4 linked regions of the Lepisosteus oculatus genome follow. The protein of the gene in region 2 purifies or fractionates together with the protein of the main gene of each other region. This does not show direct contact. Links are inferred from orthologs where the notes say so. Each region holds a gene or a part of one and is shown on either strand. Other genes may lie near its edges. The genes, in order: park7, sod1, hspe1 and eno1a.

Region 1 (7,180 bases), on a different chromosome or scaffold from region 2:
CCAGTGAAAGTGGGGCAGATGGAATAGAAACACCTCTGTATCGATGCATTGTTAGGCTGCCAGCAGGGAATATTTGGTGATGCGCACGTTTGGGATTTCCAAAATCTGTCAGCAAATTTAAAAAACTTTTAAAAACTGATCACGTTTAAGATGCCCTTCTTTTTTCAAACTTATTACTCTATTTCAAATACATAGTTTGAAATTTTACAGCATCGTGCAAAAGTGGTCTAAATGACCTCTTTGTGCGTTTTTCTTAAGTCTTCCTATTTGTCTAGGATTTTTAAATTCTTTGACATACAGCTCTCTCCAGAAAGAGCCAGTGAATGGACTGGCACATGCATCTGTTAACAGGACAAGATTGTGTAGCCCTCTGTGCTTTCTGAATGAGCCCCCGCTCACACCTCTGCGTGCCCTGAATGAGCCCCCGCTCACACCTCTGCGTGCCCTGAATGAGCCCCCGCTCACACCTCTGCGTGCCCTGAATGAGCCGCGATATCTGGGGATACCTGCACAGATGGCAGCAATCAGCCCCTTCCTGCCTTCCTGGTCCTTCAGCACGTCTTTCACCACTGGAGACTGGAAGAAAAAACACAAGGAGTCTGGCCACACAATTCAACACTCGTATGCGCAGTAATGAAAAGTAGAGTTCTGCGCCTCTCATAGGATTCCCATGTTACATAAATACAATTACACCTTGATGCCATTAGGGGCAGCTGTTTAACTCCACACTATGTGACAGAATTAGGTTTTTGTTTCTATTAAGTAACTCTTTTCCGTTCCTATTCACCTGTCCCACTCCCCCACAGTTTTAGTGGAAACTAGGGCCCTGTGCTGCGGTCCTGCTCTTACCTCAGACAGATTCTGCGCCCCCAGGTTTCCTCCGGGTAAAACCACCACATCGTACGGGCCCTGGGGAGAAAAGGGCAGGCCACATCACTGCCGATACAGCCCTGCTTTTTCACACATCGCCACAGAACACCTCTCTACAAACGGACGGGCAGCCTTCGTTAATCCATCTGCTGTATGCAAAATAATTTGAAGCACAAAATGCCCAATGTGACCCACCGTGTGAGGAGAGCAGAGTTAATACTTCAGCCTTTACTCCTGAATCTTCCGCTAGGCTGACACAGGTGCCATTGTCAACAAGTGCGCAAGTTAACCTACAAAAAGTGCAAAGTAACCTACAAAAGCACCACTTAAAGAAAAAAAAATGGTACCACATAAATCTTAAATTAATCCTTGCCGAATCCATCAATAAATCCTAATAAAGCCCAGCCCTTGTATTCCTCAAGTCTGCAATAATATTGATGATTGTGGCCCACCAGTGTTGTTTCTTTTAACCGTTTGCCAGAAAGGAACACGCAGTGTTTTACTGTGGGTAAACTGGTGGTCAAATGCAGAGTTTAGCCTGGGTTCAGAACTACAAACTTGAATTTGACGGCATTTAAACACAAACTCCTTTCAACACATGGCGCGCACGCGTATGGGACACTGCTGCTCGGACCTGCGCGCGGGCTTCCTCCAGGCTGGCATCAGGGCAGATGAGCACGTCTCGGCTGCACTGCACGGGCTCCTTCCCCGACAGGCCGGCCAGCGTCACGCTCACCTGCGGAACAAGCGCCCTCCGTCAGGTCGATGGGTTTCTGGCCTCACACGGTGCCCAGAAATCCTTTACTGGCCTGATTCATTTCAACCCTCTTTGTATGCATATGCCGGTGATCAAAAGAATGGCATCACTAACAAACACATAAAATTACGTGCAAAGGTAAAGTCAGAGGCTAGCAATGCTTTCAAACACTGTTGGGCATGAGGCCAGCTTTACACACGCTTGCAGATGAGGCCTTGTGGGACGGCGTCCCATTCTGATCACTGAGCCTGGACTCAGGAGCTCCTTAAGGTCTCTGAGCCTTAGAGAACGCATCCCAGTGATGGACGGGGCTTGTTTCGCCTAACATTACAGTTCTGCCTCAATCAGGCAGCCTTCGCAATATTACAGAAGTCATTTTAATTAGAAATGAACTACCCAAGAACATCCCTGCAGCTAACTGACATTTACAGTAGACCCCAGATCTATCTTTATCACATTCCGCGTCACTGACCCCGCCTCTCTTCAGTTTATTGGATCACTTTCACGCCACTTTTGCACCGTGCCTGCAGACTGGTTAAGAGACATTGCTCTTTCCAGAACTATCCCATGAAGATGCACAGTGATATTCAAGTCACTGACAAGTAAATGAAAATTACAGTACCATTGTACTGTAGTCAACTGCAATGTGCAAATGCCGAGCTCTCGCATACATATTCATCTTTCAAAATCTAATCGTCCTAAGACTACGGCCTTTACTATTAACTCGGTGTCCTTGTTTTTGAGTGCTTTGTAGTATTAAACGTATTAATAATTCCAATCACTTGTTAAAAATGAAGACTTCATAGCAGCAGACAAAAATGCATCGCAGCCTTGTAGATAGCGTAACGCCGATTATTCGTCGTTATTACCGTGGATGACCGTTTCAAGGCACCGATTCATACTCAAACATCTGCTGCAACGCTGGCGGTTTATTTCGTAATTTCTTTCAGTACAAACACAGTTATGTCTTTTGTGGAAGCAAGAATATATCATATACAAGCAATAACTAAAAAATAGTTCTCTTATTCTGCAGAACAGAAGGAATGCGCATCATTAGGCCTGAGGATAGCACGTTGTTTTCATGCACCACCTATGCTGAGGTAAAGTTTAAGCGTGTCAAACTGCCGCATACAGTACAGACCCCGGCTCTGCGCATGATGTCCACCGGGATAACCGTCTCCATCTCCTCAGCACCCTTCGACAGGATAACCAGAGCCCGCTTGGCTGCCATTTGTGTGAACTCTGAAGAGCCAAAGCAAACTTCTTAGATTGAGGTTGTGAACAAAAGGCACTTGCAGACGACCTGAAACTCAACAGTGTCCACACACACACACTTCCCTAGCTACGGCAAAGGCTCGGGGACAAACAGCGCGACCGAAATGCCACGGGGGCTCAATTTTATGAGGCGCGTTCTTGATCCTAATCCACAAGGCGTGTACTTAAAGCTTTATTACCATCATTATTTCGTGTCCATACTTAACTATAAATGAAAACAACACTTGCATAACGAAATGAAGAAATGGGAAGCTTCTCAGTATGAGCTGCTGTTGGCAGGTGTGACACTTCTTCAGCCACTAGAGGGCGGTGTCACCTTAGTGATGAAGAAGCATCCTATGTGGTCCATGACATTAACACATTTTCTTTATATGTACTGTATATAGATGCTAAATATAGATATTTGCTATTCTTCTTCAGAGGTGTTAAGGGCACATGTCCACATGGTTTAATACCAGAAACAATATATATCCATTAAATTCTGCGATGTGAACACTTTTTCTAAATGCTGATGTAGAATCTCTGAAGGATGTGACATATTCCAAAAAAGCTAAAAGTGCAGGACGTCTGTGCCTATACAGATTCACCCAGTACTGCGCTGTACCGTTTTCCCTCAGACATCTCCAGCCTCTTGTGTAAAAGACGCTTCTGCACGGGCGCCTTTGTGAGAGCCCGCAAAAAGTTCAGTTTTGTGTGGGGTGTGTCACACTTATTATCACTTTTGCGCCTTTTAAAATGTTGCGATCAGCACCTTGTCAGAAATGTTCAATGTAGTCAACTATATTCAAATACAGGTTGCTTAAACTGTAATTAGTTTAGTTATAGATTACGTTTTCTCCACGTTCCTTGTGCTGTACTTTATACTTAAAAAGAAGATTTGGGATATTTTGTCATTATTTACCATTCCTAGGTTAGTAGTAGACGTGGTGGCAGCTGTATTGGTGTGTATTTAATGTTAAATTACAGTAGACCTACAAGCATAGATATTTTCTTAGGATATTTCCAGCAAATATATTAAAAGTCCCTATAGAGTGCATTAAACTGTTTGCACTTTGTTTTGTTTTTTTACACTTGTTTTATGATCGAGAGACTTTCTGTTAGTAAGAATTCCATTGTACCAGTACCGGTTACATATGGCAATAAAGTTCATGTTCAAGTTCAAAATATAATTGAAGTACTATACTTAAAATAAAGTACCCTCAGAATCTTTTACTTGATTTAAGTCCAATTGATTTAGTACTTCCATTGGTCTTAGTTTGTCAATATTTGAAATATATTAATATTATTCAAAATATATTTTGAAATGCACTGTTTTTTTATTCTTCAAGATGTGAGCGATGTGAACGCGCTCTCAATAACTTTCAGATGGCACAACCCATGAACAACAAATGAACGCACCAAAAAGCGCTAACATCACCAGTGTCCACAGGGGGGCGCATAGTGCACAATGTGGATCCCTGTAGATAGGTAACCGCACTCTCAGTGTGCACCGTGATTTTCAATAGGAAATTGTTCTCCGTGGATTCTTGTCCATTGATCACGTCCACGTTCAGAACGTCTCGTAAGGGTCAGGATAGATCCTATTTGTGTAAGTGCTAGATTTCAATGCTCTGTAGTAATCTGTTCTGACCACAGTTCAGGTGGATAGCTGCGTCAGCATGCGGAGTCGGCAAAGGAACAAGAAAATAGATTTATTCCATGCTGAGAAGAGAAGATGTGAAGCCTTGTACAGCTGTGATCCCGACACTTGTTCTGACAATATGGTTGTTCCAATAGGACCGAAAACTTTACGCGAACCCTGTATGTCGCAGACAATATTTTTTATACTCACAATTCAATGAGTCAATTACAATATACTGGTGGGAATTTGAATCCCTGTCTGAATTATTGGGGTAAGTGCACCGACTGGGCCCAGGAAGTCTGCTTCCTTACAAGCTACGCCGTGCAAATAGCTCAGCTGCATAAGCGAGTCATAAACGGACACCAGGGAATTATATTTTCATGTAAATCAGAACGTGAATGGTTTGGAGATTTAATATGCAGGCACTTGTCCCAATTTAATGCACCAGTGTGCATTCTGCAGTTGCATTTTCATATTTGTGCAACTTAAAAGAGCCCAATGAAACAACGGATTAAATAAAGATTTGGGGTGCTGTAGCCGGCCTATTTTCTACGTGCCTGTTTGCAAATCCAGAAGGCAGTAACGATTACCAAAATATGTAACCGGGATCACTGAGCCTGCCGCAGTCGTACACTAGCTATTTTCCCTAAACAGGCATTTATTTATTTTTTATTCTTTACATAAGAAGCTTATAGTGAGCATATGATCATACTGAGGGAATGCTTATTAAACTCGCTTGTAAACCAGGTAACCTCGTAAGAATAGGGATTAAAGTCTGAAACACTGACGATGCAAATTTGCCCGCTGAGCCATCTGTGCGATTCTGCAAACTTAAATGAGGCGTAGCGGGCGCTTCTTCCTAAATATCCAACTTTCTTCCCCGACGCTCTTTGTTGTTGTCATGCAGGAAAACCTCTTCCAAAGGCAGGCGGAGAATAAACAAAGACCTCTTAAAGAGTAATTGCTTTCAAAAGGCTTTTCTTCTTCTTAGCCCTGTACCGTTTTCACGATTAATGTTGCTGTTTCAACAAAGCAGCTCACCGACTTATTGTACCAATACTGGTTACAGCTAATCTGCTCTGCTGACTAGGTAGAAGGCCTTTAGCTAAGGGCACCTGTAGTGTGCAAACAAACATAGCCACAGTATAATTTAATTTAATTTTACAGCCTGTAGCTACTGCTAAGACCCAAAAGAAAATATCCTCCACGTCCTATTTTTAACCACAAGGCTGCCATTTTTTCCTTCCTCCCTCAACCTCCCTGAGGAGACAGAGGAGGCTACCTCGACCCCTCCCTGTAGATCACGTCAGGGGCGTAGCGGTGGAGGAGAGGTGGCCATCCCAGCCACCCTGGACATAAACACCATGCTTCCTTGCATGTACACCTCCCCATAACCCCATATACTCAGATCCCGGATGTGTGCGTTTCTTTACAGTTCCCAGATTGAAATTTAAAGCCCCAAACAGGGTCAGAGATAAATTCCCTCCCCTCTCCGATTCGGCTGTCTCAGATCAGCGCGTGCTGAAGTTATGACTTTACCATTCAAATCTGGAATGTTGGATATCAAGGCTATCAAGAAGAGATCCATGGCCCAGTATGCTACAGTCCACTAAGAGAGAAGTAGGGGTTAAATGCCTTCCTCTCGGTCACTAAGCTAGCGTACTCTAATGGGCACGCCTCCTGAAGTGGCACATGGTAAAGGGAGTACTTCCTTGTTGGCAGTTGGCGATGAGGTCTTCCAGGTGCTTTAAGAGCCAGCAGCCAGGGGTCAAACAGCCGGGCAGGGCTGGTTCACACAACATGCTTCTGCGGCCAGGTGCAACCCCCTCAGAGCATGTCACACAGTCTGGCCAGCCCACCCTGCCTCAGAGTCTCAAACACAGGCGATGGGGACGGAGGAGAGGGAATGGGGCAGGCGTGCTCCGTCTGTCTGCTGGGGAGACCTGGAGTAAACGCATCGCAGCGGCCATCAGGTCAGGCCGATCGTCAGTCGGCACACCGCAGGGACAGGCGAGGCCGGCTGGCAGGGATCACACCTGTGGAAGCTCACAGAGGGGAGGCTGACAGGTGGATACCGCTGCTTCAACAGCTTAAACAGCTCCGAATATTCATTCACGAGCGCATTAGAATTGAATTTAATTGGGTATTAACATTATTACATTACAGAATGAAATATGGCTAGGAATTGCTAAATTCCGGGAAAAGGAAAATGATATTCGAATGAACAGGTGAGATTATAATTGAATGCAGATGAGGAAAATGATTATTAGACTGAACAGGAGAGCCACTATGTGTCCGTACCAACAGAGCACCGATTCATTAAATAGCCATTAATACTGGCTGTCTGCTTTCGGCTGGCTCACTCACCTCCACAAGTGACAGCAGACTGGGAGAGCTGTTTTTACGTGCCACACTGGCTGTTTAAAATGTGAGCGCAAATCGCCACTGACACTCTTGGATCCTTCCCAAATTCATGTCCCACCAACCACAGTGCTTAAGGGTGCTAATTTAAACCAGATTTAACGCTTACAAGTAAAAAAAAAACAAACGGATATTAACAAGTGTCAGCCTCTTTGATCTACTGCTGGCAGAACTACAAAACATGTTTTCTGATTTAATTTTTTTCAGTGTGGGTATGTATTTGTGCGAGAGCGTGT
Region 2 (7,874 bases):
GAATTATATATATATCACAGAAAAATGCAGTATCCAAAGTAACTGTTTAATTGCTGGGGAAATGCTTTATTGATTTTTTTCCAACATATGCTGTATACATAAAAATTACAAATGTTTTGATTTGAGGCCGCCCTTCATCTTTGCTATACTAATTCCTGGTTTACAGTTACCAGTCAATGTCACGATTGTGTCATTAAAAAGGTAAGTTTTGTATTAATGCCTCTTGTTGAGTGGAGAATAATTGTCTGCCTTTCCCCCCACGTTCCATAAAGCGGAGATGTTACCATTATTTCCCATTATTATTTCCATTTCTCCTGTGTGAGAAATACACTATGCTCTTTCCAAAGGAGTCTGCATTATAAAAGGAAAGCGAGATAACGTCTTATGCTGATTGCTAAAAAAACTGACTGTCTCAACATCAACCTGAAAATGAAAACCAAGCAGAAATGGCTAGTCTTTTTATGCAGTAAGAAAACACCTTTTAGGAATGTCTGCTCTTCATAGCTAAATGTAAAAATGACATTGAAAAGGATGCACTACTTATACCAATCTACTAATTATGCATTGTTTGAAAACAATTTTACCCCTAAATATGAGTGGGGTAGATGTAAATCAAACTGTAGATGATCTGTGTACAATCCTAGTTATTGAGATAGACCGTGTGTGCTTAAAAAAAACTACATTCTGTTGCTTTAAATCAGTGATAGATGTTCCAATGCAGCTAAAGATTTTATTTCTTAAAGATCTGTTACATTACAATCTGAGCCATTTAACTGCTCTAGACCGCTCGCAGTTTCTTTTGCTGTTTCAGTTCTCAATATACAAAGACTTTGTAATAAAAAACAGCTAATCTAAACTGAGGAACTCCAATATTATTATCATAGAAAATTGAATGCATTTTTATATTTGTATCATATAAAGCTGAAGCTGCTTTTTTATATTTTATGCTTTGTTGATTAGATTCTCATACTATATTACAAGACAGTGGTGATATAATTACAGTGAAAGACTCACGCATTTAGAAATACGTTGTTTATGGAGGTTGTATTTGGAAGGTGATGAATATTCTGATGTTGAGGGTGGTCTGGGAGCTGGAGTGAACTTTGCCATACTATATATATTAGACTGCCAGGCTTAATAACCTGTATCAATTTACGGTATCTTATTTTTCCAATGCAAGGTTCTGCATCAGGTCTTTGAGCCAATGAAGCTGGCTGGGTGGGACAGACGTCCTTCACTTAGTTGAAATTAAGTATCTGGCATAGCAAAGACAAAGGTATTTGAGCAGGTATAACCCATAGCATATTTGTAAAATGACCCCAGTTATTATTTTTTTTGTCACTTCAGAATAGGTTAAATCTATATAGTATGTTCTAATTTATTCCTGAAGTAGAACATGCTGACTGCTGATAAATACCTCTTATGTACCCTAAGTCTTAAATGCAGGATCATATTAGTAATTTACTACTTCGAAGAGGTAATAAATTCGTAGCCAGCCATTGTATAGGGCTTGCCCATCATGTGCTGAATGCTTCCATCTCATGCTTGTGTAAACAGCATATAAAGAACAAATTCTTGTCTAATAATCTAATGCAATTCCCACTCATCCCTTTTTAAATGAGCATGTGCAAGTACTGGCTAAAGAGTGATACATATACATATTGAGCTTCAAGCATGTAGGTCATTCTTCCATTTTTCTCTTTCACTTTTAAGTTGTCTTCTTAATCTTAACAGAAATCTTCAGAGTATTATGCTAGATATGGTATAGAAGAATATTTTGAATACATAATTTTGTAAAAGCACAGTGACACAGTGGTTAGCATTGCTGCCTTTCACTGTTGGGGCTCTGGGTTCAACTCCAGACTTGGGGTGCTATCTGTCTAGAGTCTGCATGTTCTCCCCATGTTTGCATGGGTTTTTGCCAGGTGATCTGGTTTCCTCCCAGTCTAAAGACGTTAGTTGGCTTTTGGGAAAATTGGCCCTGAATGTGAATATTTGTTTGCCTGTGTTAGACTGTGATCAACTGGCACCTTCTCCTGTCAACAGCTCCCTACCTGTTGCTTGCTGGGATAGGCTCTAGCTCCCTTACAACCCTGTATTGGATTAAGTTGTTAGAAAGCCAATGGATGGAATATTTTCTACACTGAAATGTTTTCCAGTACAAGGAAGGGTGGAGGACCATGCACACTGTCTTCTTACACATGCACTGTCAGAGGCATTTATTCCTTATTCACCTCAGGCCTAGCACACAACCAAAGTAAAAGTATGATCAGCTGATGGGGCAATATTGCTGTCTCTGACATCACTGCAATTGTTCACTAGACAAGTGAAAGGGGGTAGGTGCTGTGATGCAAGCTAAGGATAACTGCCTGCATTTGTACAGCACTTTTCATTCCAAAGAATCCCAAAGCCAAGTACATAAAGGAGGGGGATACCACTTCATCCTCCACTGAAGTGCAGCAGCCACCTGGATAACAGCTATTATGCGCCAACATTTCCACTACAGAGTAGATCAGATACAAAAACGTATGCGCATTATGCATTCAGATTATCAGTATCACCAGACATCTTGATGCTCATGTCACAGAGTGAAAAAGTGGGTGGGGGGTGGGGGCCACAGGTGTCAGGGGCTGTTTGAATGCCAGAGCCTACCTTAGGGTTGATGTTTTTTTTCTTCTTGTCCTTTGAGCTTCTTCACATTGATCAAAGACCCTTCTTGTGTTGACACTCATTATTAACACACAAGTCACAGGTGATGTGTGGGATTGGGGACAGGTTTAACTAGGCCTCAGACTGAGACTGGGGTACTAGAAAAGGATACGAATACACAGTGCATTGTTCCCCTTATCCGTCATCATACACCCAGTTCATCAGTGAACCCTGAGTAGTTAATTCTACACCTGCCCAAGACATCGAAGGAACTCTCCCTCCTGAGATCCAGTCATGAGCCCTGGTTAGGAGGGAAGAATTAAGGGGGACAAAGAGTGCAGTGTTGGACCCAGAAGAGATCTCAAGATACTAGGGACTCCACAGAGAGAAGTGGTAGAAGGCCCCAACATCTCCCTCACACAAAACTGGACTTGGGAACAAACCGCGCAAGAGGTGGAGTATGAGGGAGCACATTGTTCAGGACAACTGGAACTGAAGATGCCTAAGACCACTGAAAAACTGCACAAAGTTTCTTCACTGTGGCCGAAGGAGGCACACCAGGTCATTGACTGCAGCTGATTTTAGAGACATGATGTAGGATGACTGTCTTTTTAGATCATATTTAACTTCTCCACTCAACTGCTTCATAATACATTTAAACATCAGTTTCCATAAAAGAAAGAGTAGTTGATAAATTCAACATTGTAAGATACCTAGCAACTAATGGTGTCTAACAATCAGAAAAGCATTTGAATTCTTGAATTCACCTGGTCCAGTTATGAGCACTTGGAACAAGACTTTTACATGTATTTTAATGGGGATTTAGTGTTGCTTTTACAAGTTTTTGCCAACGAGCAGATATTTTGCAACTGGGACTGTAAAGCAAGGGATGAGCATACTCATTTATTTGGCTGAAACTTTTATCCAAAGTAACTTACATTTGCACATAATTGTATAGCTGGATATTTTACTGGATCAATTTTGGGTGAAATACTTTGCTCAAGGGTAGACCACTAGTACCTTACTTGTGATTTTGTAACCTTCCAATCACATGTCCAGTACACAAACTACTGCTCCACACTACTGCCTCTTTAACCAAATGATCATGCAGAGGCTGAACAACCTCTTATGCTTATCAGCTTATGTTTTTCAAGACTGGCTGGGATGAATTCAGGACATGTGGATAAGACAACCAGTAAACTGCTGATATCTGTCACAGTTGGATACGTTCTAGACTGAAGTTTGGGCAATAGAATCTTTAAGACTCTGAATTGTATTGAATTTGAATTCAAGTCTTGAAGACAGAGAAAATGATAGTTTCTGGTGGCACACTTCTTGCTTGACCTTCCTGTAATACAATGCTGACAAAAACCTAACTCTGATTCTTCTTCAGATTTGAAACTGACCAGACTAAGACTCCAATGAATGCAATTACATTCAAGAGAGCACAAGAGGATTGTGAACACACTGTATGAAAGAAAACTAGCAGAGTGTGCTGAGTCACTCCAGCAAACAGGAAGTCTTTAACTGGCTCCTTGGATCAAAGCCACTAACAGCCAAGAAGGTGAACAGCCTCTGTCATACTTTGCCACTGTAAATGGAGGATTTAATTTCAAAGTACATTGTGTGTATTATTCAGGTGCAGTTTTTCTATTAAAACAACATTCTTTCTGGAAGGATATGGATGTAGTAAGCATTCTATCCTACCTCCTTTGTTAGAGCCATGGTGAGCCTATATCACTTTTCCCTATAGAGGGTGCACCATTGTTGGCCAGGACGGATTATAAAAATCATATAGCTAACACGTAAGTCTCATGCATAATCGACTGCATCTTCAGTTCAGTATTTTTTTATTCTGATTAAAGAAGACGGGTTTCTTATTTACAGTGGTAGGGAGTTCTTTTACACTGATTACACAAGCAGGAAATTAAAAAAAAAATGCCGCTCGAGAGGAGTGCATGGACAGTTTTTGTTCTTCTCAGCACAGACATAGCACATGCAGTGTACGCCCCCTGCACTGTTGTTTTCGACATTTGTTTTTACTTATTGCTCTATTTGAATGACAGTTTGTTTTTATTATGGTATATTAGTCAGTTATCTGCTAAGTTAATGTTTTTCACAACTTGATTATTAACACCCACTCGAACCTCCAGCAGCGTACCTGCCGCGCAACCTCCGGGCATGCGCGCAGGCGGAGCCTGTGTTCTGACTGTGATTGGGTGCGCGCTGGATTGGGTCGTAGGCTGCGGCATTTTAGCAAGACACTACGGACTGTTGTAGGGTGTGTGTTTGCTAATTGTGTTTAGGCAACATGGTGTTGAAGGCAGTTTGTGTTCTGAAAGGCAGCGGTGAAGTCTCGGGGACTGTCCACTTTGAGCAGCAGGTATTCGCATTGTTAATACACGGATGGTTATTTATTTGATCGCAAGGCCTTAGGTAACTAGGATGAGACCCTGTTTAGTCGCTTGAACTTCAATATCTGCGTCCTCTTTTGAACGAAGTTCAAGTTCTTTGAATACCAGTTGTCGCTTGTTCGTTTTCAGTAGAAAGGCCGTGTTTGTAATACATTTTTTTTAATTGTTCTGTGCACACCTTTCTTGTCATGGCTTGTTTCCGATGCACGTAAAAACTTCTCTTGAAGCTTGTTCACCGAAGCGGTGCTATGTTCTAAAGCCTGACAGGTATAGACGTTGTGAGGTGTAGTATTGCAATTTCTGTATAAAATGATTATAATTCTACTTCTTGCGTGTCGTTAGGTGTATGGCGTTATGCCAACTGTGTTATAATGCACATTGGTTGCATAACTCACTTCGGGGCAAAGAGCATTGCTAGCGGTTGAAGCTGGTAAGTTGAGGCTGCTTCGCTTTTATTGTGAAGCAGCTTAAGAGGTGCACCTAGAATATCAGAAATGTAGCGTTTCTGCTGAGTCATTTTCTTCTTTAAAGCGTAAGAGCCTGGTTTTGTACGCTTTCTAATGTCCGTGGTGCATCTCCACAAGGAGCGAAGCGAGTTTTGTTTTCATTTATGCAGCTGTACCTGTAAGGTTATTTGTTTTTGCATACTTTTTGGTGCAATGAACACAATGATTAAAGTGTATTGCTCTTCAACACTATACTGTGATGCCGCACGAAAATAGCGCCATGAAATTCTGCTTTCGAATCTACTGCGCATGATCACAAATATATATTTTTTAAATGTTTAAAAGTTGCATTGTCATTATTATCATATGCTGTCAAGACAAATCTTGTATTTCGTGATATCAAGCTTCAATTAGCCAAAGTAAGGCGGCACTCTAAAATAAAACGATATCCCCTTATTTCAAAACCCAAGACAGTTGCAGAGGCAGGGAAAAGAACTGAAGTAATATTTACTGTTTTTATTCTTTTATTTAGTGAAGAAATAACAAAAATGGATGGATTCGAGTTAGATTCCACATGATAATAACGAGACCAAGAAATGTGATTATTTTAAATGTTTAATGTTCTTTTGTGTAGATCTGTGCCTTTCATTGATAGCTCCTTATTTATATCCATTCTCAACTTTTATATTTTTGACGAAGTGTAGTACACGTGTATTCAATTGTTTTTTTCCATAGACTTAGTATATGGTGCTGGTGTAGATTTTGTGGCTTAAACCTGAGATCTCTAAACGTTTTTCATTTGTGAGGAAAGCAGACCTGTTTCATGCAGTCTTCGTTTTTTTGTGCTGATAGAATGGTGATGCACCAGTAAAAGTGACTGGGAAGATTTCTGGTCTGACTCCGGGAGATCACGGATTTCATGTGCATGCCTTTGGAGATAACACAAATGGTAGGTGTTAAAGACCCTGCGTCTCTTTCATAGAAGCAGATTTACTGCTGAGACACTACAAACCTGATTTGCACTCTTTGTGTCACTACTGTCTCTGGTATACATTTCCTTTATTTGCAGAAAACATTTGTCATTTTGTTGAAAATATTTCAGTTTTTAAACTGAAGAGTATCCAGTGTCTTACAAAAGTTTTGATCAAAAGATCTGTATCGACCCTCATTCAGGTAGTGAATTTCAAGCAAAGATTCAAGCATGAAGACTGAGAAGCTTTCCATACTCGAACGTAAAGTTGTAGAAAGTCACAGATCAGAAGAAGAGAGTATAAAAACTCTTCAAGGACCCTTTATATAGCAGCCATATCACCCTGCAACTCACAACTGGCAACCCACTGAAGCTAAGCAGGTGTGAGCCTGGTCAGTACCTGGATGGGAGACCTCCTGGGAAAAACTAAGTTTGCTGCTGGAAGAGGTGTTAGTGGGGCGTGCTGTCAGTCATGGTGGTGGCACTATTATGTTATAGTTCAGCCACTTAATCAGCGAGGAGTGGGAAGCTTGTCAAGACTGAAGGAAACATAGATGGAGCAAAATACTGGCAAATGGTTGCTGGCATGTAGCTCCACCAAGTGAACCATCAGGGCCTCCTTGAATAACTTCTGTTTAACTTTCCAGGCTGTGTAAGTGCTGGGCCTCACTATAATCCACACAACAAAACCCATGGAGGCCCTCGCGATGAAAACAGGTGAGTCTAAGAATGGGAAGAAATCCAGGGTATCAGTTTGTTCTTATGTTTTTTATAAAAACATCAGGACAGTCCAGTTTTGTTATTCATCTTTTGTAATTGGTGCTGTTCTTGAAACTTTTTGTTTTGACATTAAGCTTGAAGATTTCTCATTACTAGGGAAATTTCATGTAGATGAGGTCATTAAGGGAGTTTTAATAATGTAAAAGTGCATGTGCTTTACTGAAAAATGTAACTACATGTGGGATTAAATATGTGACCATGGATAAAACTTCTGGGAGAAAAAAAGATAGTTTTTGTATGTGTATATTTTTGTTTCCCCTGCTTTTCTGTGAGTTTCAGAATGAGTGACCATGTAATAATGCAACTTTTCATTCAGATTTTATTTCTTAATGTCACTTTTTTTTAAAGTAAAAGCATAAAAAAGTAACTGGGTTTAATTGAAGTTGGGGGGGGTGTTCCTAGTAAATTTGTTCCCCAAATCAGACAATGACTTGCATGAAGTAAATAATAGCTCCATTCTAATACTGGGAATCTGAGCTTTAATCATATAACATAACCCACGCAACCTGTTGAGCAGTTCCTGGTGCCATGATAGAGAAGCTGATCTTGCTTTTGTTGGCTTTTGCACATAACTGTTGCTTGTGATGACCTTGAGAGACCTGTGCCATATTTGTA
Region 3 (7,702 bases), on a different chromosome or scaffold from region 2:
CAGTGGGAGCCCTAACGACCCGAGAGACCGACACTCGGGAGCAAGAGAGGGGTGGACAGACGGACCTGTTGAGCACCAGCGTGCTGAGAGCCTCCCCGTCCACATCCTCGGCCACGATGACCAGGGGCTTGCGGTGCTGGTTGGCGATCTCGAGAGCCGGGACGATGGACTGGACACTGGAGATCTTCTTCTCACTGAGGAGGAGATAGGCATCCTGGAACTCGCACTTCTGACCTGGGGGGGGCAGAGAGACAGGACATTGATAAGAACACACACGAGCGTTTCTGTCGCTGTGCGGATGGGCTCCCCGATGACTCCCGTTTCGTTTCTACTTATTATTACGAAAGACGCTCAAAAGAAAGGCCACGAGGAAAGAGAAAACAGCCCAAAACAAACAGTTTACAGTTCTCAAACAGAAGCCACCTTGCAGAGAGGAAGTGTGGCGGGGACAGGGTAGGGCCAGGGCCTGGCAGAGCGCCCTCACCTTTGGCAGTGTTGATGAAGTACGGGGAGATGTACCCACGGTCGAACTTCAGACCCTCAATGATCTCCAGCTCGTCGTGCAGAGTCTTACCATCCTGAAAACACACATCCAAGAACACGGCATCAGCCGGCACACCGGACCCATCACACAGCTCACACACCTCTCTCCCAGGAAAGACCCGCGACAGGCTGCTTCCCAGATCACCAGACACGGATTCCCGGAGCACTTCTCCCAACTCGAGAGCCACAGGCTAGTGGAAAAGCAGTCACCCCCCCCCCCCCCGTCTCACTTCACCAGCTCCTTTAGAGCAACAGCAATGCAGAAGCCAGGAACACTGCTGTCGAACTACCCCGATCCGCTACTCTTCCTCTGCCTATTCCTGCAGGATTTCCAGGCTCTTTAATACATCAACTCTTACACTTCAGGGGAAGGTGAACAACTGAGCAACACGCTGTTGCTCTCCAGATCTGGATTGAGAGCATCATTCTTTCCAGTGGCCAGTGCTGTGGCCAATTCAGTTCCCACTGGACAGTTCCTAATGGACCTAATGGACATTTACTTGGATCGAACCCGGGCATGGAGCTCAGAGTGATGCCCCGCCCCACCGCCCCCTACAAAACAAGCCCCCTGCAACCCACCTTGACGGTGATGACCCCCTTGCGCCCCACTTTCTTCATGGCGTCGGAGATGATGTTGCCGATCTCGCTGTCCCCGTTGGCAGAGATGGTGGCCACCTGAAAGAAGGCCAGGAAAGAGAGAGAGAGGGCCGTCAAGCGGGGTACCCCTCCCTTTTACCCTGGGGGCAACGAGGCGCACCCCTTCCCTCACGCAAGGCCTTACCTGGGCGATCTCCTCGGGCGTGGTGACGGGCTTGGAGAGCTTCTTGAGCTCGGTGATGACCGTGTCCACGGCCAGCATGACCCCGCGCCGGATCTCCACGGGGTTGGCGCCTTTGCTGATGGTGTCGAAGCCCTCCTTGGCGATGGCGCGGGCCAGCACGGTGGCGGTGGTGGTGCCGTCGCCGGCCTCCTCGTTGGTGTTGTTGGCAACGTCCTGCACCAGCTTGGCGCCGATGTTCTTGTACTTGTCCTTCAGGTCGATGCTTTTGGCCACCGTCACCCCGTCCTTGGTGACCTTGGGGCTCCCCCAGCTCTGCTCGATGATGACCGTGCGACCCTGCACGAAGGCACAAGGCGCTCGAACCAGGACAGAATCTCAGGCCTCAGGCATCCATCTCTGCACAACATGCTTCAAACCCACAATCCATACACAAACAACCCACCGCTACACATTTCCTGCTGCACACAAACGTGTACACGCGTCACTGCCAAACAATGCGTATCACACACACACACGCACACACACCAGGTGTCCCACCCCCTCCTCCTCCTCTTCCGACCCCTCTCCTGCCAGGTGTCCCCACCCCCTGCTCCTCTCCCTGCCCCCCCCACAAGGTGTCCTACCCCCCTCCTCCCCCACCAGGTGTCCTACCCGCCCCCTCTCCTCTTGCGACCCCTCTCCTGCCAGGTGTCCCCACCCCCTGCTCCTCTCCCTGCACCCCCCACCAGGTGTCCTACCCCCCTGCTCCTCTCCCACAAGGTGTCCTACCCCCCCCTCTCCCACCAGGTGTCCTACCCGCCCCCTCTCCTCTTCCCACCCCTACCTTGGGCCCCATGGTGACGGCGACGGCGTCAGCCAGCAGGTCGACGCCCTGCAGCATGAGGGCGCGGGCGTCGGCGCCGAACTTCACGTCCTTGGCGTAGCAGCGCGTCAGGTGGGGCGCCAGCGCTCGGCACGCCGGGCGCATCCGTCTCATCACGGTGGGCAAGCGCAGCATTTCCTGCAGGGGTGCAGCAGAGACGGGCCTGAGCGGCGGACAGACGGCGATCCCGCGGATCTTGCTTTCCAAGGAGCAACAGGGGGGGGGGCGCCTTGGCCTGGACCTGTTCCGGCTCCAGACCCCAGCTGTGTACCCCGAGACGCGCACGCTCACCCCACTTCTGCCACGGCGCGGGGCTGCACTGCAAGCTCACCCTGCCCGGCCTGTCTCCATGGCAACACAGCCTGAGCAGGCGCAGGGGCCTGCTTCAGCACTAACACCCCGGACACGCAGGGCCAAGGTCGTACCTGTAAGGACACGGCCTTCCCTCGAAAACCCACCGCCGGGAGAAGGGAATCTGTGGCGATTAGACAGCTGTGTGGCGACTGCCGGATTATCAGAGCTCTTAACCGTGAAGGCACACAAGGCCAATGCACTGTAAATGCACGACCGGGGTAATAGGCTCGAAGCGGGCCGCAGATTACTCAACCACGACTCCTTGAGCGCCTCCTGCGCCAGGACAGACCCGACGCCCTCTTATTTTACTGTGTAATTACACTTTCAGCAGGTGTAATTTTAAAAGCTAGAAGTCGATGTGGGGGATAGGGCGGCTCGGAACGCAGAACTGTTCTTTATAAAGACCGTGTGGGGGGGGTCCTAACTGTTTACAGACAAGAAGCCAAAAAAAAAACAACAACAATCAAATCCACTTCAAGTAAACGCACTACAAACCACCCCTCAGTCTTGTGACAGCGCCTAATCTTTCACGGCGTCTTTTCGGCATGAAGGTCCGTCCTTCCGCCCGCGTGCGTGCGTGCGGGGGTCACGCACCACAAGGTCAAAGCCGTGGCTGCGTCGAGAGCGTGCCGGTGCGCAGCGGCGCACGCGGAGCTCGCTAGAACTGAGCTTCATCGGCGCCCCCCGCTCACGAGGACATCCCTGCTCGCGGTGGAAGCTACTATCTGGACAGCGCAAGACGTAGCAGAGCTTACGACTAATCACTATCCAGTGATGTGTTTTTAAGTTGACTGTCTTAATGAGAAGAGTACAATAACCTCCTTAACAAAGCGCAATCTTTGAAAACGTTAATTCCAACATAAAACCCCCCGACTTCTCCGAATACATGCAGTTCATTATCCTTCTAGCAGTAGAGACGTAGCCGTCTCTGACTGGGATGGCGAGGTTCAGTCAGACGCTGACGAGAACAGACTGGAGCTCTCACAGCACTACACGGTTCCGCAGAACCGCTCGGCTCGCCCGTTTCACGCGGCAGGCGCTTAACGCCGTGCTGGGCGATATTCGAGATGTGCAGCGCAGCAGCGGGCAGACAGCAGAATCTCTCCCCCCTCCACAGCGTCCGTTACAGATGCAAGCGCTCATCATTCATGTCCAGTCCAGCCGGAAAACTACAGAAGGACAAACGAGCCACCCCCAATCCCTCACCTCGGGGTGTAAAGTGGAAAACACAAATAGGCACAGAAAAGCGGACGAGTTACACCCGAAGCGGCCAAGGGCAGGCCCACACGAAATGAGGAGGTTCACGGCCACAGCCGAGCGAACCACCGCTGCAGACACGCGAGCAGGCACGCACGCACGCCCGCCCGCCGCCTTCAGTCGGCTCGAACCGAGCTGTAGCGCTCCGCTCCGTCACGGCAGAGACTGAACAGGCTCCCCAGGAGCGGCGTGCGGAACCGTGCTCCAGCGGCGAGCGAGCGAGGAAGGGGAGCCCGGGTACTTACTGTCGGGGTGGATGGGATGAGGTCAGGAGGGAACAGACGACCGCCGCGCAGTGGGCTCTGTCAGAAGAAGTAAGACGGCGAGCTGCGCTGCTGCCTAAAAGCGCCTCCTCTCCGGCCTCTGAGCGGCGCACATGGGCATCTCCATCCGGGTAACGCTGGGGGCCGCCCCGAAACCTGTATAACTGCACACACTCGCCCCGCTGGGGGGGGGCGCGCAAGACTGTGGCGGTGAAGACCCCCCCACACACACACACCTCATTGGGGCCCGCCCGTCGCGTTACACGGCTCCGGGAACGTAACTTTAAACGCAGGTGGGATAGAGCGCGCCAGGGGGGGGAACCTCCATGCTCGTTCCGGGGCAGGCGATTTCCAGAAACTTCTCGGACGCCATTGGAGGAGGAAAAAAAGTTCGAGGGGTCGAAGGTGAATGTTGTGTAATTTTGATGCAATGGCGGGGGGGGCGGAGATGCACGCTCTGCTGCCAAATGCATCGCTTTGAAACACATTGCACCCGTGTATGAAGCAGTAATTCCGCTGTATGCACTCACAGGAGGCGGGGGCGGCTGTCGGTTTGCGCGCTGGCTGCAGGGCGCGCGGGGGATCGTGTCGGGAAGGTTCCAGAAGGCTCTGGAACCCGGGACAGGGGGAGGAACCGGCTCGGGGGGGGCGCGCATGCGCTGTCGGGCGCCCGTATTTCTTCACGTGGGGCGGCGATTCTGGTGTGTGAGAGAAAGCCAAGTCTCACGCGTGGAGAAGCCCCGAGCGCAGGACACAGGAGGGTCGCGGTGGAACCACGCTGCTGTGTGTAGAAACGTTCATAGAGACACGTCGGCATGGTAAGACTCTCTGCTCCGTACGCAGGCCGTGCCGTAGGGCGGCCTGCAATGGAGCAATTTTAAAATGTCTGGATATCCAGATCAGAAGCTCCGATGCGCCTTCTCTAGTACTTTCTACTCCGTGTAAGCTGAGCAGCACGCTGGTGAGCGCGCTGTAAAAGCAGGTCCCTTGGACACTTGGTATAAAGCGGGCTCTCACTGGGCGCAGAGGTGGGGATACTGCTCCATACTGACGATAGGATCGGCGCGGTCGCAGGTTTTTAACACCTGCAGCCGCACGGACTGGGCCGGCGGGCGGGCGGGCGGGGGACTCCGGCGACACCGGAGACGGAATTCGGGCTTTACCGAACCGACAGAGACCCGGGGGTCAAGGTCGGGGCCCTCAGACCGGTGCTAGTGAGCAACCCGGCGGGCTGTCTTGCCTTTGGCATTAACGTTTTCCTTTTGGATTATTTTCCGTGTTCCTTCCTAGGTGACCTGACAGAATCCGGCCTTTAAAGTCCGCCCTCTGCTTCCTCGGCGGAGGCGTTTAGTTGTTACGTCCCTGTAAAACGCATGCATGTGTGAACCCCGTAGACCATCGACAGACGTCTAAATAGAAGTGTTGCTCTCAAAGATGGCTTTAAGAACACAATTTTTAAAAAAGGGAACTTAATTTTGTGAATAAATACGTTTTTTTTTGTTCATTCTTTGTAAATGCGTGTGTTTAAAAGTCTTCTTGATAGCTGCCGTACGTGTGTCAGCCGGCTCGGCACGCGTGCCCTTGTAATCACGCAAGTTGCTACACGGAAGAACAAACTGTGGCTCCGGTTTATCTTCAATCACATCCGGGGCAGATATGAAACGTGAACTCGGCGTTTTGGAGGTCCCGCTCGTCTCGGAAGTGACCTCCTTGCTCTTTCCGAGATAGTCGCACATCTAGGCCTTTAATTGAAGCCTTCCCAGTCTCCAGTAGTTACAGGGAGTTACGATGATCTCTTCAATCAAGTAATTAGTTAACCAGATGTGCTCTCACGCAGCACAGAAAGTCTGAGGCTGGGCTAAGTCTTAACACCCCCGGAGAGGGGCAGAACTTTCTGGGTGGACATTTTTAAAACCTGTGATTTTTACTAAAACACGACTTGCCAGTTCCAGTGGTGCAATTTGCATCTGAAGGTGCATGTCGCCTTGGTGACCCCATTGCACTTCTGGGATGAGGTGCTAGTGTGCAGGAGAGGAGGGGGAGGCCCGTGTCTCTGGCAGGATCAATGTTCCCTGCCCTGTGCTCTGCTGACGGCAATCATTAACGATGCTTCCTGTCTGGCTGCCTTGACCACGCGTTGGGAATTAATTCCCTACAGAGCTCACAGGCTGTTGGCAGACGGGGCGCCCCTCCCCCCTGCTCCGCTGTTGTCCGTGCCCTTGAAGTGACCTTGATCCAAGGTCGCGCGCACAGCCCTCCTCCTCCTCCTCCTCCTCCGCGCGGGCCAGGGACAGGACCTCGTGGATCCCTGATCACACGCCGCTTTATCTGTCTGAGCTGCGAGACCTCGGGCGCTCTGCGACATTCCTCAGCCGGCTCCTTCCCCTGTCTTTGCTCCCGAATTCCTCGGCTCCTTCTGCCGACTCATCGCGAGTGACAAAGCTGTTGTTGTCGCGGGTCTCGGCACCCGTGATGCCCAGATCGTGGTTTCATCCTCGTTTTTAACCTGTTGTTCACACCTCTGCGTCGGCACCTTCGGAGGAGTAGCTGAGCAACTCGATGTTTCTGCTCCTCCTCCTGGGCATCTCTCTGCTTCGCCACCCAGATGTACCGCTCGCAGTGAAGTAAAGGCGTGAACACGTGCAGGACTTCCCTCCATGCCCTGGGCCTCTGGGGGAGAGGGAGTGTGCTCTGCCCCCTGGTGGCAGGACAGCAGGACTTCCGCCCTTGGGGTCAGAGTGGCCTGCGCTCGTTGCTTTCCCACTCGGGACGAGGATGCTCTCTCTCCTGCCTCTCTTCTCTCTCGGAGTCGCAGGGCATCAGTGGTGTGACCAGTGAATTAGTGTTGCCAAACCAGATACAATTAACATACCATTTGCAGACATTAATTATTGGACATTTGCATTAAACATATAAAACTTTATTGAGAGACAGGCTCACTGTCTGTTCCTCAGGCTGGGACAGGAGATCACACACTATTTATTATTATTATTATTATTATTATTATTATTATTGAGAGACGGGCTCACTGTCTGTTCCTCAGGCTGGAACTGGAGATCACACACTGTATAATTATTTTTATTATTATTATTAATACAGTGAGTGATCTGAGTGATCTGTCCAAGCCTGAGGAACAGACAGTGAGCCTGTCTCTCAATAATAATAATAATAATAATAATAATATTGAGAGACAGTGTCTGCTCCTCAGGCTGGGACAGGAGATCACACACTGTATTATTATTATTATTATTATTATTATTATTATTATTATTGAGAGACAGGCTCAATGTCATCAGATCACACACTGTGTTGCAGCTCTCTTGAGTTTCTTCCCTTTTCTGATTCCTGTGGGAGTGGGAATTCTGCGATTGGATGTGTTATTTCTGGGAATGGCGCTAGTCTCATCTCTCCCCCCCTCTCTCTCGGACCCTCAGGCGTTCAGGAAGTTCCTCCCGATGTTTGACCGCGTGCTGGTGGAGCGCTTGGCCGCGGAGACCGTCTCCAAGGGCGGGATCATGCTGCCCGAGAAGTCGCAGGGGAAGGTGCTGCAGGCCACCGTGGTGGCGGTGGGGCCCGGGAGTGTCAACAAGGTGATTTCGGGGGTCCTGCTGGGGCGGTCCCGGTCCGCACGCATGAAAGTAG
Region 4 (7,231 bases), on a different chromosome or scaffold from region 2:
AATACCATGAGGCTGAAATGGCCTGTGTGAGCAAATCAGGGTATCGGGGTTCCCTTCTGCTTCTAACCGCAGAGAGCCTTTTCGGATGCCTCCTAGCATCTAGATGCGGTACTGTCGCATGCACGACTGTTCACGGTCCCAGACACCCCGCGGCGGAGTGGTGGCTCTGTGGCTCAGGATCTGTGCCTGTGGCTGGAACGTTGCTGGTTCAAATCCCGCGGCCAGTAGAGGAGGGCCCCAGAGCAAGGCCCTTACCCCCAACTGCTCCAGGGGTGCTGTACAATGGCTGACCCTGTGCTCTGACCCCCAGCTTCTCTTCCCATCTGTGTGTCTCATGGAGAGCATGCTGGGGTCTGCGAAAAGACAAACTCCTATTGCAAGACATTGTATGTGGCCAATAGAGTGATCTTGTCATATCCACCCATGTTCAGCCTGCATCTGGTGACAAAGGTCACTGCTTTCATTTGGTCTAGAATGGAAATTGATTTGGGAAGGGGAGGGGGGTATTGATCGGTTGAAGGATCAACCTTTATGCAATGTGTGGGTTTTCCGGAGTCAATAAAATTAATTATTTACAAACTTGAGTCGGGCCGCAGGCATGGCTGGCTCGGGTATAGATTTATAGATCACCTCTCGCCGTGTATTTGTCTTCCAGCCCCACGCCTGAATTGAACATGACTATTTCTTTTTTCAAACGAGGTGGCAAATGTGAGAAACGCACCACTGAGGCATAACTTATTTGCAAATATTGCCTCGGGAACTAAATTAATGGAACACTCCATTCAAAAAAAAAAAAGAGCTTCCCCCTGACGTAGAAGTACACTGAAACTCCGGGCTGTGCGGTGTTGGCACTGGCAGAACAGTGAGACCCTGATGCTGCACTTCTTCGTCTGACCAGTAGGAGGCAGTGTAGACCCTCACTGAAACCTTTGAGAAAGAAATAGTGGGCTGGCCTGGTTGGAACTGGGTGAGAGGAAAAAACTAATATTTTGCTTCCAGCCTTGTAGAGAATAAATAAAAATGAATAGTAGCTTTACGACTGATTGCGCCTGGCAGCCCAAAGTGTTCTGCACCTGGGAGGAGACCCAGCTGGGTGACACACAGCAGCCGCTATCTACCAGCGGTCCCAGTACCCAGCAGAGCCTGGTCTGATTGGCCAGAGCCCAGACAGACTTCAGAGTTCAGGCACTGGGGTCAGCTCCCCTGCCCTCACAAGACAGCCATGGGCATCTTTCATTAAACTTCCAAGGCAAACAAAACTTCAAACTGTTTTTTTCTTTTTAACGGATTACAGAGTAGGCGTGCTGGAACAATGAAGCCATCACATGGCAGTGACTCAGAAAGCTTGTGTCAGTGCTGTGGTGGGGCTGATGCAGTCCAGGCTGACCAGACCAGGATGCTGGTACACTAATACAAACAGTGCCCCACTTCTCTGGAAGAGTCTTCTACAGCTGGCAAAGAGAGCAAAGATTGGGTGCCGCTGCAATTGTGTGTGTGCGTTTTTTTAATTGAGTGCATTAATATTAGAACACACGCTGGGAATGACTCCAGAGTAAACAAGGGCTCTTTTATTCAGGCAGTAGTTGTTCTTACTTCTGAAGCCTCAAAACGAGTTTCATTCAAAGTTAAGTTAGAATGAATGGAACAACTGTCTCAATAAAACACGACTGCTTCCTAATATCTCAGTGAATCATTTTCTGACTACTGTTCTACCCTCAGAAAGCCCTGGGACGTCATGATGTGGGTTCCTGCCTGGAAACGCATTTTCTTCCGCCTCTGTCCGTGACGTGGCGCAGGCGAACCACCAGGCGGCGCGCTCCCGCGTCCCGCCGTCCTCAAGGTCACCGCGCGCGTCCGCCATTGCTGATGCTCCGTTCTGCACTCCTCCGGCTGCCATGGTGACGGGGGACGGGCCCTCGCCATGGCAACAGGGCCTCGAGGGGGGGTGGGGGGGTGGATGACTGCCGCTGATCATTCAATGGCGGAAAAAAAGGACGTTTTGAGAATGAATCAGCCCCGTGTTCAGGAATGCTTGTGCACGGTTACAATTTCTGTTCAGATTTTGTGCGTTACAAATGTGTTTATATATGTCTACAGGTCGGTACCGAAAAGGGCAGCAGGGTGGTGCAGTTGTTAGATAGACAAGACTTTATTGATCCCGAAGGGACATTGAGGATAGCATTGCTGCCCCGCAGTGCTGGGCCCCAGGGTTGAATTCCAGCCCTGGGGTGCTGTCTGTGTGGAGTCTGCATGTTCTCCCCGGGTTCGTGTGGTTTTCCTGTAGGCGCTCCGGTTTCCTCCCACAGTCCGTCCAAAGACATGCTGGTAGCTTAATTGGCTTCTGGGAAGACTGGCCCTGGTGTGGGTCGGCCCGGTTAAGCCAGGGACCAGCCGGTTTAGCCGAGCTGGACCGAAACCCAGACACACGGGCCTGCCGGGATCAGGACCGGACACCCCTGTCCTCCATTCCGTGCTGCTGTTTGCGCAGATCTGCTCATCATCGCCTGCCTGCCGAGACGGAAAAAAAACCTAAAAAAAGTGACATTTTGTCTTCCAATCGCTCTGATGAAGGGCGCCTGTGAGCGAGACACGCCGCCGAGGCGAACACGGTTATAAATTATGCAAGCTGCAGGTATTGGGTAACAGGTCTCTCCGCCCGGAGCCGAGCTCGTTAGGAAAGACAAGGTTTGCGCGTTTTCTGATTCCAGTTCCCTGTTTGCAGAAGCGCCATCCCTCCGCATTGCTCGCTAGCACACCAGGCAGCCCCTCGGCGTCTCCACACACGGGGCCCGGGAGCTGTCTGTCCCTCAGTTCACGGCAGCGTGGGTTCACCCCGAAAGCGCTGAACCGGCGCCCACCCGCCACCAGAAAGCCGCAGACCCCCCGGGTGAGAGAGGTCGGGGCAGGGAGCTGCGTCAGGCTTGTTGGAGGGGACCAGGTGAGGGTTTATTACCGGCTGGGACAGGGAAAGGGAGGAGACGGCGCCTCGTTCGTGGCCGCCCGCCTCTCGCTGGAAACCCCACGTGAATGCCGGAGGACCACGCGGACTCCACGCAGAAGGAGCCCCGACCCCACAGTCGAGCCCAGACCGCAACAGCTCCAAGGCTGACACCCACGCCCCTAGACTTGGGACGTATTCATTTATTTTAAAAAAAAGGAACAAGAAGAATATTTCATCACTGACGTATCTCTTTATTATAGCATTAGTTTTACAGGGCTTGAGAATCTCCCCTCGCCTTCTTATTCTTGAACCGTTTTTCTAATGATCGTGACAGAGAAAATGCGCGAGTGATATGCATCATGGAACAGGTCATGGGTTTATTCCCTGCCGAAAGGAGAAGAAAGAAAACACAACGTTTCGGCTGTGGACCCTTCTTCGGGTGTAAGAATAATGGGGGCACTCAGCCTATCTCCCGTGTGTATTATAGCATGTGTATGTGCACCTATGTTATGTGTTCGGCTACGTAAAGAGAAAATAAAGATGAGGAAAATGTCAGCTCGCACTCGGGGCTGCGGCGGGTGTCTGGCGAAGGAGAATGACTGTTCTGTATCAATCTGCGGGTCACCCTGAGTGGTTTGGGGATGACTGAATCGTGAATCGGCCGTGGAAAGCCTGGCTCGGGCGGCGGTCTGCTCCCTGTGCAGTGACGCAGCGCCGTCGCGCGGAAAGCGTTGCTGATTCCCGGCACGTAGTCCTCACTGCGCCACCGCATCCCGAGCGGGGGGGGGGCTGGGTCGGGACTGTCCCTGGAGAAGCACCTTTCATCCTGGGATCTGGTTACATCCTTGAAACCCGTGCAGCACCCCGAAATAAAGGACCCATCCCCTACCCACGTGCGCAACAGGCGGTGAGCCCCGACAAAGCTCACGACGGCGGCCCCAGTTCGGCTCCAGGCGTTATCTGCGGTTTTTTTAATGTTACAAATACGTGCATTGCTTCCGATAACGGGTTTCACCTCGGCCTGTGGAGATGCTGCGAAACGAGGGGACGCTAAAGTGGGGGCTTCGTTCGTTTCGTTTGGAAAGAAAACGCGACTTTTTAAAAAGAAATCTGACGCAGACGGTAACAGTAACGTGTTCCGCATCCGCCCGGCGGGCGCCGCTGCGCTCGGTGGAAACTTCCAGCCTCGCGTGCACCGGCCTCCTCCTCCTCCTCCTCCTCCTCTCCCCCCCCCACCCCGAGTTGCGGGCGTGTCGCGTGAGCCCCGCAGGAGCCAATCAGGCGCGAGCCCTCTTCCTGATAGCGCTGCCCTGCGCGAGCCCTGCTTCTCTCCGTCTGCCAGCCAGCGCGAGCCCCTGTCCTTCTCCTTCTCCTTCACCGCCGCACAGTCAGGTAAGAGCGGCTCAGCACCACGTATAAAGCCTTTAGCCCAGTTTAATCATGAGCGGGCCCCGTTTTGTAAGCTCTGTTTTATTCGTTTCTGGGGTGTGTGTGTGTGTGGGGGGGGGGGTTCCCCATCTCGTGCGCTTTCTATGCACGCGTCGTCTTTAATATTTTTGATTTCCCGAAAGTTCCGAATTAATTCACATGCTGTGACCTGAATCAGTGTCTCTCTCTATACCCTGCTTTCCCCTGGAAAGCTCCGGGAGGTAAGCGGGTGTCGAGACGCTATGGGGCTGCAGCTAATTAATAGGGGGCCCGGCAGTACATTGTGTCAGAGAGGAAGTTTTGTCATTTTAGTTGGAAGGTTTTAATCGCCCATTTTAGGCGATTTCTCTTTAAACCTGTTAATTATCTTAAAGGTTTTGCCCGTCTGGGGGGCGGAGCGTGAAGGGTTCGCTCGGTGCACCGCCGGGGGTGTAATTCAATTAGGGGTATCGGGTTCAAGTTCAGCCCCAGCGGAGAGCGTCATATCGGGGCTGCCGGCGGTTTGAAACGGGTCTGTCGCTAAGCGGTCGCCGTTTCCTCTCTTGACAAAGCCGTATAGAAATGCTGAGATCATTCTGTTACAAGACCAACGTTTGATATCATTGTGCAATTTTCCTGTCGTTCTGAACTCTGCTCTGTAGCTCGTAGTTCCTGGTTAACTGTATCTCGGGAGTAAAACGCTTCTCAAGCGGGTCTTTAATCCCAGGGACATCCATGTTGTCCGTGTCGGAACTTTAAATAGACTGGCTTTTTTTCTGCTTCCTGGGAAACGCCAGTCTGTCTGTAGCGTTTTTTTTACGTGAGTTTTTTTAATGCGTTTAAAACGTAACTTTCATCTCCTCCTCCTGTTAATTTTTTTTAATTGTTGTTGGGGGTTTTTTTCCTAAAAAAAAGACCACTTCTGGAGGTGGGGAGGGAAAGAGACGAGATCCCGGTTTAGAGACGCAGAAACACTATAATTGGAGCGAATATAAGACTCGAGGCCTTCCGGGCTGCCTCGCTTAACACACCCGGCTGGAGGGGACGGGCGACGCTTTCTGATTTACTGAACAAGCCGAGTATTTCCAGCTCCCAGGACACGACCTTTGGAGGCAACGCCGCTTTCGGAGGTAGCGGTTCCAATGTCAATCGTGTTTTCGGGGTTTTGGGGTCACCCTCAACACCCACGTCCTCCCCGAGGCGCTGCGAGCGCCGCACCTGTGCGGAGTCCCCGGCACCACCCGGGAGGGTGGGGGTGGAAAAAACACGACATCGTGCGTGTCTGAGAGGAAAAAAAGGGGTGTCGAGTGGACTTTTCGGGGGTGACCCCGAAACCCAGATCGACATTGAAAACCACGTTGCCTCCAGAGGCAGTGTGCCAGGAACTGGAAATGCTCGGCGCGTTCAGTAAATGGGGACACGTCCCTCCCGCCCACTCAGGTCTCTAGCGGTCTGATTCCTCAATGTGAAGCAGAAACCACGTTTCTTGCGGTGAAAGGGCTGTCCTCTCAGCCACTCAGACTGCTTTCCACCAGCACCGTTTGGGAGACCCCAGTAGTTTTATTTTCATTAACATCACGGGACCCCAGTCTGTGTCCCTCAGTTCTTGCGACCCCCCGGTTGTTTGCGAATTGGGGTATGTGAAAAGACAGTGCAAGAAATGGGCTCATAAAGTGATCTTATCTTATCTATGAGCAGGACTGCTCACTACTGGAGAGCACTGGAATGGCTGCATATTGAGTAGGGGGGATCTCCCATCCTGGTCCAGGAAAGCTGTAGGACCTTCTGGTAATTGGCTAAGTTGAAGTGAAGCTAAGTGTTGATATAACAAGCTTCAACCCTAACCACTAGTTATAAATGCCTATAAAACCCAAAGGACAGAGGGTGCACCTGAAAATGTGCTTTGGGGGTTATGACTCTGTTAGTACTGGCCATGATTAATGCTCTTTCCTGTGAAATTGCAGATGTCTGATTCATGCAGCGCAATTGGCGTTTAAGGAAATAAGTCACTTGGTCCTGGAAATAAGTTTTTCGATAGCACGGGCGGCCTGTTGCCGAGGCTGCGAGTCGTTATATACAGGCCTCTCAGGCTGTCCGCGTTGGTGAGGAATATTGAAGTCTTGGCTGTGAAGGAAAGCCCATTGCAGACACCGTAATGTTGACACGGAGACCTGCACTGGCCGTGGGTACAGATCAGGGTACAAAAGATAAGCTTCTTGTAGGCTTCTAACTCAAAAACTAGATTTACTATGCAACAGCTTATTTTTTTGTTCTTTACTCGGAAGTGCATTTCTTAGCCATCCTGATGCAGTTTGATCAGTTTAACAGTCTCTCTTCCTGGCTGTTTCCTCCGAGAGCAGAGACCCCTGTCCTACAGCTTTGTAACCAAGAGCACCTTGGCTAGAATAGACTCGCTGTGAATAGCAAGTTTGTTTGTTTTTAACCCCGGCTGGCCAAAAGCTGAACTCGACTAAAAGCCTGTGGCTCCATTCAAACAGCCGTCCCACTCGATCGTGTGGACGAGGGAAGGACAGCACGGGTCTGCTAGCTCCTAGGGACAGCCGGGGGCAGTTTTCCAGTGGTCCATCTCCATCGCGCAGACATTAATGGATCGAGAGGGAGTGCTGCGCAGGGCATCTCGCTAAAAGTCTAAATAGGCTTTTATTGGTTGGGTGCGCCTCACTTGACATCTGAGCACTGACTCATTTTGTGAGCTTGAAAGGTATTAGCCCACGAAGCCTAAACTAAATCGGTATCCTTACCAATAAGCACTTTAGTCTCCCTGGCCCCTAGTGCCTTAAGGTTAAAGGGCCCCAGTTTTGATGCCTGATGTGTTGCTGTAGGGACTAAGCTGAGGTGTCTCATTTGGCAAAGTTAGACTCA

What was found.
Region 1: the proteins of sod1 (region 2) and park7 purify together in Homo sapiens (affinity purification with mass spectrometry; 4 studies listed by BioGRID and IntAct, with this or other methods). This does not show direct contact. The link is inferred for Lepisosteus oculatus from reciprocal best matches to the Homo sapiens genes SOD1 and PARK7.
Region 3: the proteins of sod1 (region 2) and hspe1 purify together in Homo sapiens (affinity purification with mass spectrometry; 3 studies listed by BioGRID, with this or other methods). This does not show direct contact. The link is inferred for Lepisosteus oculatus from reciprocal best matches to the Homo sapiens genes SOD1 and HSPE1.
Region 4: the proteins of sod1 (region 2) and eno1a fractionate together in Homo sapiens (co-fractionation; 3 studies listed by BioGRID, with this or other methods). This does not show direct contact. The link is inferred for Lepisosteus oculatus from reciprocal best matches to the Homo sapiens genes SOD1 and ENO1.

The regions. Positions count from the first base shown.
Region 1 is NC_090720.1:6,610,802-6,617,981, reverse strand, and holds the start of park7 (Parkinson disease protein 7 homolog), read right to left. Parts: upstream 3,002-7,180; 5' UTR 2,859-3,001; coding exon 2,769-2,858; intron 1,607-2,768; coding exon 1,505-1,606; intron 910-1,504; coding exon 850-909; intron 577-849; coding exon 507-576; intron 1-506. UniProt on the Homo sapiens protein: Multifunctional protein with controversial molecular function which plays an important role in cell protection against oxidative stress and cell death acting as oxidative stress sensor and redox-sensitive chaperone and protease.
Region 2 is NC_090700.1:19,762,617-19,770,490, reverse strand, and holds the start of sod1 (superoxide dismutase [Cu-Zn]), read left to right. Parts: upstream 1-4,864; 5' UTR 4,865-4,960; coding exon 4,961-5,032; intron 5,033-6,361; coding exon 6,362-6,458; intron 6,459-7,126; coding exon 7,127-7,196; intron 7,197-7,874. UniProt on the Homo sapiens protein: Destroys radicals which are normally produced within the cells and which are toxic to biological systems.
Region 3 is NC_090707.1:7,076,913-7,084,614, forward strand, and holds the start of hspe1 (10 kDa heat shock protein, mitochondrial), read left to right. Parts: upstream 1-4,698; 5' UTR 4,699-4,875; coding exon 4,876-4,878; intron 4,879-7,494; coding exon 7,495-7,650; intron 7,651-7,702. Other genes in the region: hspd1 (60 kDa heat shock protein, mitochondrial), read right to left, coding at 66-234, 485-578, 1,123-1,218, 1,325-1,660, 2,148-2,321. UniProt on the Homo sapiens protein: Co-chaperonin implicated in mitochondrial protein import and macromolecular assembly. Together with Hsp60, facilitates the correct folding of imported proteins.
Region 4 is NC_090720.1:1,528,091-1,535,321, reverse strand, and holds the start of eno1a (enolase 1a, (alpha)), read left to right. Parts: upstream 1-4,222; 5' UTR 4,223-4,333; intron 4,334-7,231. UniProt on the Homo sapiens protein: Glycolytic enzyme the catalyzes the conversion of 2-phosphoglycerate to phosphoenolpyruvate. In addition to glycolysis, involved in various processes such as growth control, hypoxia tolerance and allergic responses.